Linked DNA regions of Kluyveromyces lactis. The protein of the gene in region 1 interacts with the protein of each later gene in a biochemical or structural test. Links are inferred from orthologs where the notes say so. Each region holds a gene or a part of one and is shown in the gene's direction. Other genes may lie near its edges. The genes, in order: FUS3 and PTP3.

The links.
Region 2: of the proteins of FUS3 (region 1) and PTP3, one has a biochemical effect on the other in vitro, tested with the Saccharomyces cerevisiae proteins (2 studies listed by BioGRID, with this or other methods). The link is inferred for Kluyveromyces lactis from reciprocal best matches to the Saccharomyces cerevisiae genes FUS3 and PTP3.

The regions. Positions count from the first base shown.
Region 1 is NC_006041.1:928,707-931,908, forward strand, and holds FUS3 (mitogen-activated serine/threonine-protein kinase FUS3), read left to right. Parts: upstream 1-1,282; coding exon 1,283-2,398; downstream 2,399-3,202. Other genes in the region: PEP1 (type I sorting receptor), read right to left, coding at 1-695. UniProt on the Saccharomyces cerevisiae protein: Together with closely related KSS1, FUS3 is the final kinase in the signal transduction cascade regulating activation/repression of the mating and filamentation pathways, induced by pheromone and nitrogen/carbon limitation, respectively.
Region 2 is NC_006039.1:675,265-679,793, forward strand, and holds PTP3 (tyrosine protein phosphatase PTP3), read left to right. Parts: upstream 1-1,450; coding exon 1,451-4,402; downstream 4,403-4,529. UniProt on the Saccharomyces cerevisiae protein: Major phosphatase responsible for tyrosine dephosphorylation of MAP kinases FUS3 and HOG1 to inactivate their activity; it also has important roles, along with MSG5, in the inactivation of FUS3 following pheromone stimulation.

The DNA.
Region 1 (3,202 bases):
TCCTGACAGATTACCTTGTCTTTTAATTTGTACAGTTTTGATTTTGATGATTTCTGTACGAATGAACAAAACATGTTTAAAGGGTTTGAATCATCATTACTTTTAGAACCAGAGCTGGCCAATTTGAAATTGTTACCATCTTTGGAATAAAACGAAATCTGCCTTAAGGTAAATTTACCATCCAGTTTACCTAGTTCATAGATATTGATAATTCTTGCATTCTTATTTGTGGGATGTGACTCGATTTCAACGTTGATAATCGGTTTACGATTTTCATCGCCGACGTTCGAATAATCAGAGAAGTCTATCTTATGATTATCTGCGTCTAGGAAAGTTAACTGTTTCCAAGATTTCCCTTTATCACCGGTAGCTAAAACGCCGTTTTCACCACTCAAATATGCAACATCTGCTTTATAAATCCGATCTAGTACCAAGTGATTCCATTCCTGAGGTTTGTTATCAGACGAAAGGGGCAATCCCACCGAATCCCAAGTAACACCATTATCCTCACTTCTATAAAGCTCAACACCACGAAGAAGTTTAAGAACTACTCTCGAATCATCAAATCCGAGGATAGACAAGCGGCCATGCGTGTCTACATCCGAATGGAACGATACCTTGGGTTTAAAATCCTGAGCCAAAACGGGCAGAAAGTTCCAAAGCCCCAGCCAAATAAGGATATTCCACCAAAACATGAGACAAAGACGTTAAAAGTACTGCAAGCAATGTAAAAGGGTTTCGTTTATATCGGTAATTGAGTATATACATGAAACACAAGCTAACTACCGCTAAGACCAAAATTACAACGAACTGTTGAACAATGGTTCAAAAGACAATCTGTACGATATATTCTATTTTTTCCTCCTAGCAATTTTGATAATACCAATTCTGAGCATTTGAAAGTTGGTAAAAGGGAAGAAGGAAAAAAAAGGACGCGTCACGTGAATGTGAACATAATTAAGAACCTTAATTTTTCCCTAAACTGTTGCAGCTTGTTTCACATTATCTCTGAAGAAATTAGTCTCGTTTCAAGATGAAACGGCCGTACTTAAGGGAATATGGGGAATGTCGCGTTCATGAATTACAAACAATTAAAGTGAAAACTTCGATGGTTTGAGGTTTTGAGGCGATTTAGTGAGAAACAAGAAGACTTAAGATATTACATATATATATATCATACCTAAAAGTGGGTAAATATGGATAAATTCTCAGGCAAGAAGGGGTGGACAAATTTTTGCTCTGGTTTTATTCATCCAGAGAACCAGAGATAGATAGTGTGACAATGGGCAAGAGGATAGTATTTAACATAAGCTCTGAGTTTCAACTACAGTCGCTTCTCGGTGAGGGTGCTTACGGAGTGGTATGTTCAGCGAAGCACAAACCCAGTGGAGAAATAGTTGCTATCAAAAAGATCGAACCTTTTGAGAAACCCCTATTTTCTATTAGAACATTAAGAGAGATCAAGATATTGAAGCATTTCCAACACGAAAACATAATCAGCATATTTGACGTGCAAAAACCATCATCTTTCGAACAGTTTAACGAGGTGTACATAATTCAAGAGTTGATGCAGACGGACTTGCATAGAGTGATCGTGACGCAGGAACTAAGTGAGGATCATGTGCAGTATTTTGTATACCAAACTTTAAGGGCGCTTAAAGTGCTGCATGGAAGTAATGTGATCCATCGAGATTTAAAACCAAGTAATTTGTTGTTAAACAGCAACTGCGATTTGAAAATCTGTGATTTTGGTTTGGCAAGAATTGTATCTGAAAGAGCAACAGATGGCGATGCCCATGTTGACGCTGATGACACGGATGATAACTCCCCTTCATCGGCGGCTAATGACGGTGACCCGGCAATTTCGGGAATGACAGAGTATGTGGCAACCCGATGGTACCGAGCACCGGAAGTAATGTTAACAGCTGCACAGTACTCCAAGTCCATGGACGTATGGTCATGCGGATGCATTCTTGCCGAGCTCTTGGGGAAACAACCGTTGTTCCCCGGGAAAGATTACAGAGATCAGTTGATCCTGATATTTCAGACTTTAGGGACACCCACGGAACAAGAATTGGTGGAGCTAGTAGAAAATAGACGTGCACGTGAGTACATTCGCTCGTTACCTAAGCATCCCAAGATCAATTGGCGGCGTAGGTTCCCGAATGCATCTGCAGCCGCTCTTGATCTCCTTGACCGGATGCTGCAATTCGATCCGAGGCTACGGATCACTGCCACGGAAGCGCTATCACATCCATACTTGGTCTCGTACCATGACCCGGACGACGAGCCCGAAGGAACTCCGATTCCTTCGTCATTCTTTCAATTTGACCAATGGAAGTCGCGGCTAAATACAAAGGATTTGAAGCGGCTGTTATGGAACGAAATCGTGTCATGAGACACACCATCCAAAAACAAACGAATGACTAAGTAACCACTAGCGTATTATATCATTTTCTTGTGTAGAGGTCTCCAAAATGAACAAAGAACACCATCAGATAAACATAATGCGGTTTTGTGCTTTGGAAAGGAAAAAAAGAAATTGAGACGAAAAGATCCCATTTCGGAGCCGCCGTTCTGCGATTATCTTAAATGCGATTTTTTCTTGTTTGTTTTAGGGGCCCCCTCGTTGCAGGGAAGGTCAAACCAAGAAAAACAAATTACACGCACTAGGAAATCTGTGAACGAAAATGCAAAAAATCCATTGATCCGGACTTTAACACGCATGACTCTTTCCTTCACTATGGTATGCTCTTCAGTCATACATTGCCACATGCAGTAATTCTTACGACCCGATACGATTCCTTCCCCTCTCTATCCTTGCAAACTTAGTAAACTGAGTAAGCTGCACCATTAATGTTTCGGGATGTCCGAGCTATTGTGTGATTCGAGTAGCGCACAGCAGTTAGACGCGATTTTTTTTTTCTAACGCGCTGCATTACTTCGCTTAGTATATCCAGCCATTTTTTGTTGTTTTGGTTTTTAGTTTTCGCTTTGATTAACAACGGTTAAACTCCAGTTAGTAGCAGACAGAAATCAACTTGTGTTCTTGCGTTTTTTTGTCCTATTATTTTAATTTTATAAGACATTATGGTGAACAATTAATGTACAACTGGCATATGATAAAACTCGGGGTGCAAACGTGACACATACGTACACCCCCAAATCGGCGGGGAAAGTCACTGGGTAAGCCAATGTATGA
Region 2 (4,529 bases), on another chromosome or scaffold:
CGTTGACTTCTAGGCGTACGTAATTTTCGCTTTTCGTTTTGTGAGTAGTGGTAGCCTTTAGTTTCCGAGTTATTTCACTACGTTAATTTCTTCGTTTCAGCTTGCAGAAAGATGTTCGAGACCCGAGTCCATTTCTATTGAAAATTCTTTTCTTTTGTGAGGGAAGCGAACTTTCGAACCGTTTTGGTCACTGCTTTCCGTGCTAACATTCTGGATCAAAAGTACGAAATTTTTCGAGCCTTAGTCCCATGGTAACTCTCGCATTACTATTTGACAAATGAACGTTTACTGATCAGAGTGTGTTTAGGGCAGAGAGGTAATGTCCGTTTCGACCGTAGTCTCGAACCGGAACAATGATCAACGCCTTGGTTTTCCCGAGAAAATTCGTGTTCGTTTTTGCAAGAGCACGGAGGACAACATTCATTGTCAGTTCTAAGAAAGAAAAAAAAGCCAGTTGCAAATAATTGTAACGACGTAATTTACTGCGCAAAAGAGCCCCATCTATGATTATGCTCATGATTGAAATTTATTCCCAGGATTTTGCTGTGGTGTGTTATGCAGCCATCTGCAATTCTTCTATTAAACTACTTTTCACAAGTTGAAGAGTACAAGTCCAAGAACATACTCTCAGACTAGTACCCAGGGGATCTAGATCTTTTGACTATTAGCATATTTTTCGGTCCTTATTATACCGTTCTTTCGGCTCTACTGTTGATTTCTAGATTTGTGTCTTTTTTTTTGTTCATACATTTCACAAAGCAACAGAGTGTCGTAATTAACCATAGAAACTGCTTCTTCATCCGTGATATCCTTGTAACATGTCTTGACAATTTGCGGTTCTTATTCAACAAGAGATGAGTATTGCTTGGTAAAATTGCAATCGGCATGAGGGTGTAAATAGTTTAGAAGATTTATCGCATATTTTTCTGAGTCCTTTGTTTTCAGTACCTTTCTGCCTACATAAGGTGTCTTTTCAGGTAATTTCCTACAGATGAAAAGTAATCTAATTAAGTAGCAAGGTGTCTGGTTCAACCAACGAAGTGGGCATTACTATATCACATATGCATTTATGTAATTCGACCGTATATCACGTGGATGTGCGTGCTAATTGTTGTTGTTGTTGTTTTTTTTTCCATTGGATATGTTTCTCGAATGCATGCATCTGTGTATCCTTATGCAATCCTCTTCTCAATATCTTTTTTAGAATTTCTTTTCTTTTCGGTCAAGTGTTTTCTAATTCGTAATTTCTAGGTCTAGTGCATTATTGAACCAAATAGAACAGCTTCCAACATCTTCAGCTATCTTTTAACTTTGTTCGAATCACTGCTTTAACGAAGACACCAAATAAGAACCTATACCAAGACAAAACTGTCAAATTAAGCATACAGAAAGAAAGTACTTTGTTAGTAATAGGGTGTCAAATCTAATCTATTTATAATTTCGAAGAGAAATGGAGTATATAGACACGATGGGCACCAACAAACAACAGGAAGAAATCCAACTCAAAGAACCTCTTTCGTTTTCAAGGCCTCTCGCTAGACCACCATCGATATCTGGATGTACAGAGTATAAAGATCGTGATTCAATTCAGAGCAGCTCATTCACATCGGAAAGTTCATCAGTTCTAAGTTCGTCATCCACTTTGATCGATGATAAATCGTCGAATTCATCGTTAGCATCTCCTGCCCTGAGCGCAAATTACAAAAGAAATTCAACGGAGGTACTGCCCGAAAAGATTCTGATACATGCGTCGACTTTCCCTTCAGCATCTGAACCTTCGTATAGTACATGTACACCTTCACCGTTGTCAGCATCTCATAGAAGTTCCCTTTCGTTTTCACGGAGTAGATCGCGGAGCATAGCAATGAAGTCCAATAGCTTGCCCGCTATTCCAACAATATGTCCAAAAGATCTCCGATTTCCTAAACATAAAGACTGCTCGTTTATTAGCCCTGCGGACTTGCACCATTATATTGAAAATATGGACCAGAATCCCAATGAAAAACTGATAATATTCGATACAAGGCCGTTCATAGAGTTCAACAAAAATCACATCAGATCGGCAATGCACTTGTGTCTTCCCTCGACTTTACTGAAAAGGAAAAACTTCAATCTGGAAAGGTTGATAGGTAATCTACCTTCCCCAGGAAGGGAAACTTTATCGGAATATTTATTGGGCAGTGACAGCGCCACTGCAAATGCCAAGGTGGTTATTTACGATAATGTGGCAAACCAGACAGATTATGCAGTATCATTGGCATGTTTCGGAATATCTTCTAAGATCCTCGATCATGTAAGTGACAAACAAAAGCCTTCTGTTTTCATTCTCGCAGAAGGTTTTGAATCATTTAATGCAGCATATCCTGATGACGTCGAAGTTGGTACCATGGATTTGGAAGACTCTTATACCTTAGATTCCCCATCTTCCCCTCATCAGGCAGACAATATTTCTCCAGTTCAACCGCAGTTGAAACACTCTGGTAGATCTCATTCGCATTCTTGTTCTCCTTTGAAACAGCCACCACAAACCGGTAACAGTAGGACTCTATCTGGTTCCCCAATATCCACATCATCACCATTATCATCTTTGTTTGGATTTAAACTGCCGGCACCGATAAATAATCAACATTTACCAACTTTTAAGTTACCGCAGATTGAGCATGACATTTCCGATCTAGATAATTATGTGAAGGCCGTAGAGATCAATGAACGCTCTCAAAGAAATTCTTTCTTAGAATCAGAAAATGACCTAAGATCCTTCAAATTTCCTGCTTCACCGTCCAAACAGTTCAGTACCGATGCGACTTCGTCATCATTTACTTCAACTCAAACAGCATTATCGCCAGCAGATCCTTCTAGTGGCCACAATTCATCTAAACTAAATTTCCAAGTTAAATATGATAACCTATACCACAGATTTGCTTCAGAGGAGATCAATCAGGTAGTTCCTTCCTGGTTCTGCCAATTAATGGACATTCCAAAACTGCACTTTATATCTAAGTTCCAAAGATTGGAGTTATTAGAAAGAAAAAGACTTCAGAGATTATTGGGCCCCTCATCGTCCGCTTCAATTGTCAGCACTCAATCTCGGTCTACTGTAGCTGGTAACGACAGATGTGTCGAAGATGGTCATTATGATGTTGATGAGGATGATGCTGAAGAGAACTTACAAAGCATCACAATATCATCTGGGGTAGAATTTGGGACGAAGAATAGATATAAGGATATATTTCCTTATGAGCACACAAGAGTAAAGCTCTCGCATTCTAGTATATGCAGTGCTGGCTGTGAGAATTCAACCCCTTCCCCGAGATCTTCCGCATATAGTTCCTGTGCTAGTGGCTTGCCAACTCAAGATGAACAAGAGGATGTTTGGAATACCTATATTAATGCTAACTATTTGGTTAATCCTTTTGCCCAACTTCAGCAAAGCTCTACCGCTGACATCAAGTCTGTACGTTATATTGCCACCCAAGCTCCTTTGAAAGAGACAATTTCGGACTTCTACACCTGCATTCTGAACAACAATGTGCCCATAATTCTAACGCTAACTGATGAGTTTGAAAATGGAGTTGAGAAGTGTTGCAACTTTTGGGCAAACGGTAACTATGATGGTATAAACGTCAAACTTCTGGATGAATTTAGTACTATGTTACAAGATAAACCAATGAAGGCAGAATCTAACCATGAGGAAGATATGTTTGCATCTAAGTTTTGGAGACATCTTAAATTAAACAAAACTTCAGACAATAACAATGAGATCATCATTCGAAGAATTGAACTGAGCTATAATAATGATAGAAGTAAGTTCCAACTATTGCAATTACAGATAAAAGACTGGCCAGACTTAGGGACATTGCTCAAACCAAACGAAATTCTGCAAATAATCAATTTGAAGAATTTTGTCATTGATAGTCTGTTCGCACATAACGTGTACTCTCCTAATTACACACCGACTGTGCTCGTTCATTGTTCTGCTGGATGTGGTCGAACAGGTACTTTGTGCACTGTTGATTCCATATTATCAAACCTAAAGAAGTTTGATACCGATGAGAATCCTTCTTTGTATGGCGCCTTCGCCGTACCGTTAACTCCTAATCTTTCTCCAACTACAAAATCTAATTCTTTTTCTGCTACGAAACCACCAACAAGTCTCATGTTTGATCCAATCGTGACAACCGTAAACCAGTTCAGAAGACAGCGTATTTCTATGGTTCAAAATATCAACCAATTTCTCTTCATTTATGATTGTCTATTATTCTATTTTACATTGAATTTGGAGACTTCACCAACAGACCCTGAAAAGCGTAATAACTGGCAGTCTATGACAGACGAGAACTCACACCTTGACATTTTGCACAAATTTATAGACGGAAAGGTAAATGAGCTACAGCAAGTCTGAATCCATCGTTTTGAAAGCGATATAGAATGCAAACAATCTCGCTGCTCAAAATACAACATCAAGTGCTGTCAAACACCAACAAAGCAACTGATGCTCGCCTAACCATAATGACATACCATTCAATTCA